Linked DNA regions of Oryctolagus cuniculus. The protein of the gene in region 2 interacts with the protein of the main gene of each other region in a pairwise test. Links are inferred from orthologs where the notes say so. Each region holds a gene or a part of one and is shown on either strand. Other genes may lie near its edges.

Region 1 (4,783 bases), on a different chromosome or scaffold from region 2:
ATTCAGGCTTAAAAACGAGTGTCACTTGTCCAATATATAATAATCCTCCAGGTCTCATGAACTCCAGTTTCCCAAATGTAAGGCTTAAAGTCATCAGTGTTCATTGCTGGAATCTTTTATTGTGGTATGAGCCCTGACACTGGTAACAGCTATAGATGAACAGGTCAGTAAAAGACCATTTCTTTTTTTTTTTTGATTGGCTTTTGTTCTTTAATTTTGCCAAAGATACTTGTTGTAGGATAGATGAGAAAAGAAATAAAGGGTAGTAGTACTTCAAAATATACATAGCTAACTCACTTCTGTGATATCTCTTGCCCAAAAATGCATCACCTATCTTTAATCTCATTACCTAAAAGCATCAGACTCAAATTAAGGAACACTGTATTTTGTATATAAAATCATATATATATATATATATTCATATATATATATATAATTGCCTAGAATTCTTCAAAAGTGTTAATGAAAAGAAAAAGACCAAGGAACCACCAAATGCAATGCAAGCAAGGTCTAACATAGGACCCTGGAGCAGATAATGGACATTAGTGAGAAAATTAGTAAAATTTCAGTGAGGTCTGCTGTTATGGTTAATTTGATAACTATTATGGTTACTCAAGCATTAGAGGAAGCTAGGTGAAGAGCATATGAGAACTCTGAAAACTTTTTATAAATTTAAAATTATTTCAAGGGGATGGCATAATGGCTCCAAATGCTGGTTCAAGCCCCCCCCCCCCCCTTTTTTTTTTGACAGGCAGAGTGGACAGTGAGAGAGAGAGAGACAGAGAGAAAAGTCCTCCTTTTGCCGTTGGTTCACCCTCCAATGGCCGCCGCGGCTGGCACACAGCGCTGATCTGAAGGCAGGAGCCAGGTGCTTCTCCTGGTCTCCCATGGGGTGCAGGGCCCAAGCACTTGGGCCATCCTCCACTGTACTCCCTGGCCACAGCAGAGAGCTGGCCTGGAAGAGGGGCAACCGGGACAGAATCCGGCGCCCCGACCGGGACTAGAACCCAGTGTGCCAGTGCCGCTAGGTGGAGGATTAGCCTATTGAGCCGCGGCACCGGCTTAAGCCCTATTTACTCTGCATCCCATCCAGCTTTTTGCTAATGGACCTGGGAAGGCACCTGAAGATAGCGTAAATACTTGGGACCCTGCCACATGTGACCATAATGGAGTTCCTGGCTTCAAGCTGGCCTAAACCTGGCTGTTGTAGCCATCTGGGGAAGTGAACCAGCGGATGAAAGATCTCTCTCTATTGCTCTGCCTTTCAAATAAATAAATCTAATAAATAAATCTTTAAAAAATAAAAATATTTCAAAATACAAAGTATATATAAAAATAAACAAAAATTCTATAGGTCCCACAGAAACTGCTAGATAATGTTGTGGTTGCATAAAACCTAGAATGTTACACGACTGGCTAAAAAGAAAGCCATCAGTACTTCCCCACCTGCCCTCCACAAATCCAGACGCTCAGTATCTCAGTAGAGAAAGAGGTGCACTGCCTACCTCGCTCTGAGTCAGAACGATCTGAAGAAATAGTTGATCCAATGCTGTCCATTCGTATCCGTTCCATCTCCTGGGGGCCCTGCAGCTGTTCCAGTCTCCGCTTCAGAAATCTCTGTTCTCGCTCCAAGTTCTCGAGTTGGTGCTGGCTCTTCCTTTCAGCTTCTTCAAGTTTCTAAAATGATAAAATGCTATTTACGTTTGTGTGCAGTCCAATACAAACAGATTTCTACCTAACATCTGAAAATTTTCTGGCAGAGAAAACAAATGAATCATACATAAATGCCTATTTTTTAAGCATCAACATAGTTCTCTCCTTTTTTGTGTATGAACACCACATTTCTTGAACAATAAGGACTTCTGAAAAGCCATCTGCACTGAGGATTCTACAGTAATCTGAGTGTGGTGGTATCTGATGGAAAAATACTGAGGGAACTTAACCAAATGAAGTCCTCTCCACCAGAGGGCACAACTGCTGTCCTTCTGGGCATCAAGAAAGTAACTGTTACTTTCCTAGCATTCCCAGCTCTTCAGACGGCTACGCTGTCAAAATAATTTAGCTTAATCAGGTTATGTTGCTCCCATCAGATTAGCTGGTAAGTTTTTAAAAAGATTTCTCTTGAGATACTTAAGGAGGGCACGGTAAGTTAGCTGATATGTATGAGTAGGAATCATTCCTAATAATTTAAGCAGGACTCAGAGAATCATGTACAAATCTGAAAGTAAAAATTCTCACCTTGATGTGTGCTTTGGCTTTGTTGAGCAAACCAAGTGTTGTATGCCTGGTGCAGTCTGGTCCTAGAGGAATCAGAACTTTTAAGCGTTCTAAACATAGGCGCAGATGAGCTCGCCTAAGACAAAGAAATAGTCAAATTAGCACAGTCTGGGTATTCCAGTAGAAACATGATAAAGTCTTATTCTAAGACAAACAGTACTTTGCAGTTATTCAGCCTATACCCATTTTAGAACCCTAATTCTTCAGTTTCAAAGTGTGTACAGGGGTGCCTGCATTTCAGATTGTGCTACTTCTGTTGTACTCTGTTCCACTTCACATTACTGTCCCCAGTGGTAATCTGTTACTGATGGTTTATTTTTTAGTCTATCCCATAAACTGTCTCAACTTTATTAATATGGAAGTGTGAAAATATACTAAGCTAACTGTTTGATTTAGAAAGCCGATAACCACAGGGTAGCACAGGGCTTTTCAGTTGTGGCACTCTAAAGAGTTAAAAAAATGTTCCCAAGTTTGCATTTCCTTCTTCCTACTCTTTACTTGCACACATACATCCCCACAATTAACAGCCATCTTAATAATGTTTCCTGTCGTTGTGTGTGTATGAAGTTAAGCTACATGAAATTTCATATTCAATCATTTCTCATCTATAAAAATGCCAATTTCATAAGATCCAGCACAACAAAAACAGCAACATTCTGTAACCAATCTGACAAAATATGCAGCCTCGTCTACAATTCTAGCCACTCAGACAGCCCAGAATACTATCCCCTTCTTAGCTAAGTATACCGACATTATTACCTTAATTTTTAATTTTCTTTCTTCCTCTCACTACATACTTCCAATTTTCTCCACAAGGAAAACAAGGGATAAAATTCTTTACTGAAAGTCATCATATTCTTTTGCCCACTATCTTGTGGTGAAGTTGGGAGGAATTTCTCATGGACTGTTAGCAGACAGCCTCATGCATTTACCTCTCCTGTGCTCTAAAAAGAACTAAGATCGTGGGGAGGACAGTGAGTTCTGAGCACATCTTCTTCATCTTGAAACAATATGAAGGTACTTCAGAAAGTTCATGGAAAATTAGAATTAAAAGATGGTTAAGTGCAAAACATTTTTTATTTTTGGACCATATATTTATGGATTTTTTATGAGCTTTCTTAAAATACCTCGTACTAGTCCACATCTTTGGTCCCGTGTTTTGTAAGTCATAATGTAATCCAGCATTTAACAGCATATCTGAACAAGAAAGTAAGTTCATATACTTCTTAAAGAGCTGTAACTGAACTTACAGCAACTCTGTCGACTGTATTAGAAACAAAGCATACCCTCCATTTGCTTCTCAAAGCAAACCAAAATGGTTTTACAAACTGATCCACTAAACTGCTTTGTCTTAGGAAATAATGTCAAGTGGAATTCCCAAATACTACCAATTTCACAGAGTGGAAGGAAATGATGATAAGCAATCAATTATGTCACAAGCAAGGACAAATTACCAAGACTCTTAGCACCCACTAGGCCAGCTATTGTTAAAGGTATTATTATTCCCATTTCAGATATCTTTACTGAATTCAATACTTCAAGTCTATTAATTGTCTCCAGGCTGAAATCTGACATACCTGGTGTGGATAAAGGAATGTTCTTATTTTCCTAAAACTAAAGGTGCACCAATGGATTGCCTTTAATATTATTTACTAATTTTAAAGTCACTATCTTCTAAAAGTTAATAAAGCAACTAGGAAAATTAGAAAAAAAGTATCTTAGTACAAAGAACAGCTTCTGAAATTTGGGTTACTTAACTGCAGAAACAATATATTTAGGAATTATCTTTCACATTTTAATCTAAGAACTTTAAAATGATTCCTTACTAGCTTCAGGGTAAGGAAGAAAAAGTTGGGTTAATTCCCTCTTTTGTGAGATTTACTAAAACCTAGGCTGAAAATTAAACTCTTTTTCTTCTCTTTTAAAAATCATTTAGTAGTATATTAATTATATGACTTGTGTACTCAGCACTGTTCCAGACACTTGCTGGAGCAGGAAAAGTAAAGAAATGGATTTTTGTGAGTTTACAGTCTAGGCTACAGATGAAACACTATTTTGTTTCACTTGGTCCGTACTGAAATGAATCTGACACGTATCAAGGGCAACACACTCTGAATAAATGCAGACTGGAAGGGGAGGAGGCAGGCTTGTGAGAGAGGCTGAAATCTGACTTTCGATTTGAAGAATATTGAATTTGTGAAAAAGCAAGGATTTTCCAGGTAATTTAAAAAGAGTAAAAGGACCTAAATTTACAGATTGGGCCAACTTCAAAACTAAAATTAAATAGATTATTTTCTTTCATCCAAGGGAAAACTGAGTTGAAATTCTGTGAGGAATTGCCATTCTAAGCTCAGCAGGCTGGGGGTCTGCAGTAGCACTGTCAAATCAGCAGTCACCCAGACCAAAGGAGTCAAGGTTTGAATAATGCCTACGTGAACAGGGAGGCAAAATCTCCTCTCAGATATTCTTTTATTGGCCACTGTTGAACATTTCTTCAGTCCAGTAA
Region 2 (3,863 bases):
AATGTCCAGTGACAGCTCCATGTGCCTGTGGTATATTATGCAACCACTAAAATGATGGTCATGAGATAATCATGTTATTTATTAGGACTGAAAATGCTTAGATGACATAGTGAAAAAGGGAAAGATTACACAACTGTTTATCTGCAAATGTGATTGTATCTAGGTGGAAAAACCTGTTTTAAAAAGGCTAACAATGATTGCTGGGTGGGGGATGGGAGGAAATTATGCAAGAATTTTCTCCCTTTAATGTGTTAATGTTTTAAAAAGTTAACTTAGTACTTTCCTAATAAAAATAAAACATGTTGTATTATGTTTTTTAATGTTTAAAATATTTGAGAAAAAGAGGGCCAGGGAGCAGTGCTGTGGTGCACTGGGTTGAAAGCCCTGGCCTGTAGTGCCAGTGTCCCATATGGGTACTGGTTCAAGTCCTGGCTGCTCTACTTCCAATCCAATTCCCTGCTGATGTGCCTAGGAAAACAGGAGGATGCCCAAGTCCCTGGGCCCCTGCACCCACAAGAGAGACCTGGAAGAAGCTCCTGGCTCCTGGCTTCCAATCAGCCCAGCTTTGGCCATTGCAACCATTTGGGGCGTGAACCAGTGGAGGGAAGACCTCTCTTTCACTCTTGGTCTCTACGTCTCTCTGCAATTCTGTCTTTCAAATAAATAATATAAATATTTAAGAGAGAGAGACAGACAGTGAATGAGCAGGTATGTCATTTGCTGGCTCATTCCCCAAGTGCTGGGAGCTGGGAACTCAATCCAGTTTCCCATAGCGACAACAGAGACCAAACACTTGAATACCCACTGCTGCCTCCCAGTGTGCACTTTAGTAGGAAACCGGAATTAGTGTCAGACCTGGAACTTGGACCCAGACACTTGGATATGTGATGTGGGTGTCACAAGTAGAGTTGTAACAATTGCACCGAATGCCTTTCCCAGTTTATTATACTTTATTTATAAGTTTTCTCTCAAAAAGATGCATACAAGTATCTTCCATGGTAGGTGACATTTTGCATGGATTTAATGTATTTGTATTTGAGGAGTTAGAGAATATTTGCAAATTCAAACTATGGTCATGGGTTTAAACAACTGCTTTGCCATCAGGCGGCTTTTATATTAAGAACAAGAAGTCACAGAGCTGTATTTACCATGCTAAAGCAATGAAACACATTGTATTTGGAGATTTGCAAGAAAGCTCTACTGGCTCCTAGAATACCAAAATGAGCTGAAAGGAGAGAAAATGATAAAGCAGAAATATCTAAGGATACTTGGAGGACAATTGAAGCTCTACAAGCCCTCCAGAGTTGCGTTTCTGGTTTTGACGTCCGTCATTGAAGCCCGTCTCCTGGCCTGCTGACATGCTGAGTGTTTAAGGATCACAAGTGGCAGTTTTCAATTGTGCAGAGAACGTAGGCTGAGCATGGCTCACAAGTGCTGTTTGATGTGCACGCTGTAGAACAGGGATTACAGGAAAGCCTGGGGAAAATTAAGGTGGATCCAAGCTGAACCAGGGAATCTTGATAACATGTCCAAGTTCAAGTTCACCCTACACATTGCATTCTGGAGAAAACTCCTTGTCAAACAGCCTTGCAGGGAAGCCTGTTTCAGCTGTGGACCCAGAGTGTTACATGGTGCTCCCTGCAGCAGTGGCTGCTGAATAATATGTTGGGGGTGTTTTCTTCATTTTGTAGTATACTGTCTTAGGCGTGTTCCTGATTAGTGGAAAAGAGGTGCGTGAAGAAGCCCCCAGCTTGGTCCTTGTTCTGCTCTGGGGCTTCAGAATATGCTAGGACTTTTCTATTGGTGTGTGCTTAGCCTCAGCTAGGTTTTCATCAGTCTTTCAAAAAGATCCCTCGATGCACTGGGGAGGTTTGACCTTGGCCCTACGGGGGAAACAGGATTCTTCACATCAGCCACTTTGACTGGGGGATTCCACGAGTCACTGGGGAACTCACCTGCAGTCCTCACTGTCCAGCAGGCCCCGGTACGTGCTGATCTCTGACTCCAGCCGGGCCTTGGTGTCCAGCAGCACCTGGTACTCCTGGTTCTGCCGCTCCAGGTCGCAGCGGATCTCAGCCAGCTGGTTCTCCACATTATCAATCAGGCATTGCATCTGGGCCAGCTGGGTGCCGTACTGGGCCTCGGTTTCTGCCACAGTGCATTCCAGGGATTCTATCTGCAGGAGGAAGACATTGTCCAAAGACTAGCACAGTCTCTGGGGCCAGACAACTTGTGTTCAAATTCTTGCTCTACCCTTTTCCAGCTATGTGACCTCGGGAAAGTTCCTTAGGTTCTCTGAACCTCAGTTTTGTTCTCTGTAGAATGGAGAATGCAAAGTCCCTATCTCATGGGAAGGCTGTAAGGATCAACCAAGTTGATATATGCCAGTGCTCGGAGAAGTGTCTGGAAGAATTTTAAGGGCTGTGGAAACGTTAGCTATTGCACCTGTGATTACTGCAACCGATGGGGTGTTTGTGTATCTTACGGAGTATCCGTAGCATTTGAGAAGAACTCTGAATTTGGGGTCCTGGTAGGAGGAGTGGGATAGTGTGGTTTACAGGAGGAGCTCCGGGTTGAACCACTTGGATTCAGCTTCCACTTCTGCATGACCTTCTGCAGATTTCTTAATTTGAATATCAGTTTTCCTTGTCATTGTTATGGGGTTAATAAAGGTTTCTATCCCATAAAGTTATGGTCAGGCTTGAATTAGCATGATGCCTCTCACAAGAAGAGTGCTCAGCTATTCTTCATCTAGAAATTCTGCAGGACCCCACACAGTCCACACTGCAGTGCTGGACTGGAACTGGCTAGTGTAATCTTGCCTGCGTGGTAGCCTTGCTGCCTGCGTGGGCTGGGTGGCGTGCAGTGAAGGATCAGGGTGAAGTGTGGATCCTGAGAAGTGTTATGATCATTGTAGGGTGAAAAGTTTAAAGTCTTTGTTTTAGTATAATGGTGATCTTGGCATATTGGCCTGATCAAAAGAGACTTAAAATCCTCTGGACTGCCTACGTGCTATGCTGCTGTGGCCTCTCCACTCCTGCCTGTCTCTGGGGGGTGCCGCAGGATCGCACTCAGGCCTGCGGGGAAGGTTAGAACACCCTGGTGGGCCGGTGCAAGCTGTTGACCTGTCACTTCTGCCTCTAGCTGGGTAAGCATGGTGGTTGGAAAGGCAAGGAAGCGGAATCCTTGCAACTTGGAAATCCAGACCTGCCACACGAACTGGGGATCTCTGCCTTGGGTTGTGGGAAAGGGTGTTTGTCAGAGCCCGATTTATCAGTGACAAGGCGGACACCTTCTTTGCCATACGCACCAGGCTTTGCTGTGCCTGAAGTTCAATTTCCAGCGTGTTGGCTGTGCGTTTCAGCTCCAGCATCTCCGTCTGGCAGCCCTGCAGCTGCTCTGCACTGGACAGCTGCTGCTGATTCAGCTCCTCTGTCTGAAACACAGGCATGGTTAGAGAACCCTGCCGAGGCACATGCGGGGAGTCCTGCTCCCATGTTGCTTCGGGCCTGACCTGAGCAGCGAACCACTCCTCCACGTCTCTGCGGTTGTTGGCGAGCAACGTCTCATACTGACAGCGCATCTCATCCAGGACCTCGTTGAGGTCGATGGTGGGGGCGGTGTCCAGCTCCACACTGAGTCGGTCACCGAGCTGGCCACGGAGCAAGTTGACCTCCTGAAAGTGGGAAGGGAGTGAAGAATGTCACAGAGCAGTAGGGCAAAATCCATCCGACACACAGTGGCATCCCATTCCCGAGTTGTGAAATACTGAGTAAAAGTGTAGGATTTTAATTCTGATGCCCTGGGCTAATTCTCTTTCCCCCCCCTTACAAGTGCCCAGTTTCTTCTGCAAAATTGGCATA
Region 3 (4,783 bases), on a different chromosome or scaffold from region 2:
TGCAGCTCCAGCTCCAGGAAGACCAGAATGACAAGAGATCCAAGAATGTAGCGAGGCTTGGCCCTGTTTACAGGGGACTCTGGTTGGAACTGTCTCGTCAACATCCTGGATTCTGTCATTTCTTCCCCCTGTGGCAATCTACCCTTTCTCCTTGGTAGAGGTGAAACGCCGGGCGCACTCAGCCACAATCCCTCTTCCTGCTGAGGTTTCCCACCTGTCTCAGGAGGCTGCAGCTCCTCTTCACGACACGGGCTCTGTTCCTCCACTGCCTCCAGATCTGGGCTTGGTGTGGTTTCCTCCTGGGACTGCTCAGGGGTCGAGGTCTGCGCAGGATCCTGCAGCTCACTGGGGGACCCGGCCTCTGTCCCTGGATGCACTGTCTCCTCTGATAGAACTTCCTGGCCGTGAACATGGACGGTCACCTGGGAATAATTCCAACTTCCCGTCACCGTGGAGTCAGAAGAAAATTCTTGGTTGTTATCCTGGCTTATCTGGGGAGAAGCTTCCTTGGGGAAAGCTCCCCCAGGAGCAGGGTGAGGAGGCCTGGGAAGGGGAGCTGAAGGGTTTCCTCCCCAGGACCAGGCAGAAGACACTCACCCTGTTCCCAGCACCCGGGGCTCTGGGGCTCCCATCCTACCCACCTCTACTACCCCACCTACAGTGCCCCTTGCTGTCCGCTGCTATGGCTGACCACCCTGGAAGGGAAGCTGGGACTGGGTGTTGAAAGGAACTTTTGAAGAAGTCGCCAAATTCTCCTCCCTCGGAACTGAAAGCTCAGCATCCAGAGGGAAAACCAAGGCCAGGACTCTGGAGTGGCTGAGTCCCCCCAGATGCTCCCTTGGACAGGTGTTTCAAACCCAGAAGGTCACACTCATACACACACGTCCCCCTGCCAAGCCCGAGGCAGAGTCAGTTAGATGTTGAAGGATAATCGACAGAGGCCCTGTGAGCTCTCCCTGCCCACCCAGCCTTCCAGAAGGGAGTCCCCCTCCACATCACACAGATCAGGACTCCCCCTCCTCACCCACCGCCTTGGTCTCCTGGGCTGTTTCTGCAAACCCTCCACCAGCGTCACCGCCTCCTCGCCGCTTTCTGGCCGTTGGCCCCGCACCCAGCTCTGCAGTTCTCCAGGCAGGACGGTAAGGAACTGCTCCAGCACGAGCAGCTCCAGGATCTGCTCCTTCGTCCGCCTCTCTGGCCTCAGCCACTGATGACAAAGTTCTCGGAGTCTGATGAGAGCTTCCCGAGGGCTCGCTGCTTCCTGATAGCGGAAGCGGCGGAAGTTCTGGTGAGATGTCTCCAGCACAGGGTCGTCCCTTTGCAAGACAGACTCTGGCCGACAGGGGAAATCATCTTCCAGTTTCACCGTGAAAATGCCCTCTTCTTCCCAAAGCCCTTGGTCCTCTGGCTCCAAGGCTGTGGCCATTTCCTGGCTCTGGGGCGGTCTCACACCATCTAGAGCTCACACTGGCATTGCCCCCAACTCTCAGCCTGGACACCTCGAGGAGTTTCTCCCAAGGGACCTGGATGAAGAAATAAAGACAAAGGGTCACGTAAGTGTGAAATGATACACAAGTTCAGGACAGGCCCCTACACATAATTCTTCACCTGATTATGTCCCCTTCCCCCTGGTCTCCATACCTTGTGTTGTGCTCTAGTGAGGACAGGAGATTATGCATGACTGGAGACTGGTCCTCTACTCCCTTTCCTAAGCCACATTCATAGCCCAAAGGAAAATACTGCATTTCTATTTCTATTTCATGGATACTACCGATTTTACCTTCTGCCTCCAAATCTGTTTTCTCTTCTTCCTTCCTGCCAGCTGCTTTAGTCTGTACCCTTGCTGTGATCTCCAACTGGGGTTCCTGCAGTATTCCAATGGCTAGGAGTAAGCACTCTTACAATCAATCACCTACTAGGACTGACCACAGCGTTTGTTGTATGTATATGCCTATTTACATATGAACTAGCATGTACTAGGGTACTTCAAAAGGTTCATGAAAAATGAGATTAAAAGATAAGTTTATTTGGGTGCAAAAAGTTTTGAAATTCGTGCACAAAAGGGACCTTCAAGCAGCTCATGAAAAAATGTACATTATGCAAAAATGTATGGATTTTACAATATTTTTGCACCAAAATAAACTTTCAATTCCATTTTTCCATGAACCTTTTGAAGAATCTTCATACATCCTGGGAAACAGTGGCAGGGCTGCAATAGATGTGGAAGGCTTTATGGAGGTGCACTGTGTTCTGACTCAGTCAGGATTAACTGATAAAAAATGGGGACTCAAGAGATTTGAGGGGAGGGCTCTGTAACAGTGAGGGCTTACATAGTGGTTGGCACACAGAAACCCTAAAAACCAACCTTTCTTGTTAAGACATCTTCAATCGGCTGACGCATGGCCCCTCAAGCTCAAGTGTTCAAAACTAAATTCATTATTCCTACTCCCAAACCTACTTGTTTCTGGAATCATGTCTTGGCTGAGATCATTGTTACTAACAATCGACTTTGTAGTAAGCGTTGGATTCACCTGATTCTTCCTCGGTGCTTAACGCTCATTAAACCAACTCTATCACTTAAGCCTCTGTGTTTCTTCCTCTTCCCTTCCGGCAGACAGCTTTATTCTGGGCCCTCATCATTTCTCTTTGGGACCACTGCCATCATCTCCTTACTGGGGTCCCTACAGTAGGCAGTTACAAGCACAATGCAAAAGAGTTACAGGAGGAGTTTTTGCAAAAGGGTACAGTATCACACATCACTCTTTTGGACATTCTGATTCAACCTAGACAACTGTAATTAAGCAATGCCATATGTAGTTCTACTGTGCATCCATGGTTGAGAAACACTGAGGAAGGTGTGTAAGGTTAAGAGCCAGGGCCCTGGAATCAGACAGCTATGGTTTGGATCCTGGCTCTACTGTACTTTGTCTACTGGGACAAAGTTGGAACTATGGTCAAGTTCTTATTCTCTTTATGCTGGCTCTCCATTTACCAAACAGAGATAATTGTGGCAATCATCCAATAGGGTACAGTTAAGTATCAAATGGAGTACTAAATGTCTAGAAGACTAATGATACTCTACTATTAATCATATCTAAGTTATAGGTCTAACTACATTGCTCATATTTAAAATAGTAAGTTCTTAGTAAGATTAGTTTTGAAATCCTGGGCACAGGATAGTCAACCCCAATCTGTTTTCCAAGCCTACATTGTACTCTTCTTTATCACCTATCTATACTGAACGCACTGATCCACCTACAACAGGGTGCCCTTTCAGGCCTCCATGCTTTCTTGAAGCCTGCTCCCTCTAAATAGAACATTCTCCAACTCCTCCTGTTCCTGTTTATTCCTAACACGTTCTCTCTTCTTCACTCCCATGTTTTACAGGGAAACATGCTCTGTTTTATCTTTCTGAAAGCATCAAATTGTAAAAGTGAGCCCTTGAATGGAATTTGATTTGCTTTTACTAAAATGCTAAGTTTCATTGACCCTGGATAAGTCTTTAGGTTAAATTTATCAGGGTATTCCTGAATCATGCACTTAATGTACTGTTTGACCTCTGTCCTCAAGTGATTTTGGTCCTAGTCAAACTTATGGAGATCTAACTTCCTTGCACTTTTCGGGCCAGCAGACAGATTTTCATGGAGAAGTAGCTCTGAAATGCTCAATTCTACAGCCTCCATACCTCCTAATATCGTAGTCCTATTTCCTGGTCGCAGCACAGGTATTAGAAGCCTAGAAAACTTTTCTTGGTAATAACATCCCCTAAGCCCATGGTGGAATCAACTTGTACTTATTTCTCTAGCTTTTATGTCTGCCTCTGAAAGCGACACATTTATCTTTAGTTTTTGGGAGAGACTACATAGGCAGGAAGCTCACCCACATTAGCTCCACTGAGATATGGTGAAGTAAAAGCAGTGAGCTTTCTAAACACACAAAACCTGCCAATGGCTTTGTCGTGTCCTTAGGATAGAACTGAAACTCTTTGCAACTTGATGCTCAAGGCCCTTCTAGACCTGGCCTGATGACCTCCTTTCTCCTTGACCGCCACCCCCACTGAAGGCCACAGCTGGAATGACTATTCAGTGTCTCTGCCATGCCCTCACCGGGCCTTCCTGACACAGCTCACTCAGCCTCTCCCTTTGGCTACCTCCACTCATCTTTCAGTTCGTTTTCCTGTAGTGCCCTCTCCAATCACTGGAGATTATGCTCCCCAGGAACTTGCTCCCCACCATACCACAGCATGCAATGTATGCATACTTGGTCATCAAAGTTGTTCCTTTTGCAGTTAAACTCATTGGACTGAGAGGTGCTGAGGGCAGCATGTGCTGCAGCCAGATCAGAGTCTGGCCCCCAAAAGGTGAACTACTGAATGCTAAGCACGCTTTCTGTTTAAGTCTGTCTCTGGAAGGACAGATGCCATGTTGTATTATTTATTCATTCATTTGTCCAGCAATCTGTGTGCTGGATAAATTAATAAATAAGAAAAGACATTTATTGTTTGCACTGTGAGAAAAACGGAATACTTTCATGGTTCCCAGAGTGATGGAACCACAAGTCATCACAAGGAGTGTTCAGTTTTACATGGGGATAATCCAAATGCAAGTCACACGCAACTGAGCATCTGAATCAATTTCAATATCTACAAAGATCAGACATCAAGTAATTTAATGCAACTACAATACTGATTATTTATGCAGACAAAGCTCCCCCATACCTCCCACTCCTCTAAGGAGGGGAAGAGAAGACAGAATTGATACACAGGGTCCCTTAGCTTTAACAA

Evidence for each region. The genes of interacting proteins can lie anywhere in the genome.
Region 1: the proteins of KRT40 (region 2) and MXI1 interact in binary tests that used the Homo sapiens proteins (3 or more experiments, as listed by UniProt). The two-hybrid records come from large-scale screens. The link is inferred for Oryctolagus cuniculus from reciprocal best matches to the Homo sapiens genes KRT40 and MXI1.
Region 3: the proteins of KRT40 (region 2) and ZNF202 interact in binary tests that used the Homo sapiens proteins (3 or more experiments, as listed by UniProt). The two-hybrid records come from large-scale screens. The link is inferred for Oryctolagus cuniculus from reciprocal best matches to the Homo sapiens genes KRT40 and ZNF202.

The regions. Positions count from the first base shown.
Region 1 is NC_091446.1:19,963,216-19,967,998, forward strand, and holds part of MXI1 (max-interacting protein 1), read right to left. Parts: intron 2,354-4,783; coding exon 2,239-2,353; intron 1,678-2,238; coding exon 1,506-1,677; intron 1-1,505. UniProt on the Homo sapiens protein: Transcriptional repressor. MXI1 binds with MAX to form a sequence-specific DNA-binding protein complex which recognizes the core sequence 5'-CAC[GA]TG-3'. MXI1 thus antagonizes MYC transcriptional activity by competing for MAX.
Region 2 is NC_091448.1:21,611,278-21,615,140, reverse strand, and holds the end of KRT40 (keratin, type I cytoskeletal 40), read right to left. Parts: intron 3,677-3,863; coding exon 3,515-3,676; intron 3,437-3,514; coding exon 3,311-3,436; intron 2,177-3,310; coding exon 1,956-2,176; intron 1,477-1,955; coding exon 1,377-1,476; 3' UTR 934-1,376; downstream 1-933. UniProt on the Homo sapiens protein: May play a role in late hair differentiation.
Region 3 is NC_091432.1:116,114,284-116,119,066, forward strand, and holds part of ZNF202 (zinc finger protein 202), read right to left. Parts: exon of another isoform or gene 2,532-4,783; intron 2,521-2,531; exon of another isoform or gene 1,781-2,520; intron 1,524-1,780; 5' UTR 1,427-1,523; coding exon 1,025-1,426; intron 423-1,024; coding exon 215-422; intron 1-214. UniProt on the Homo sapiens protein: Transcriptional repressor that binds to elements found predominantly in genes that participate in lipid metabolism.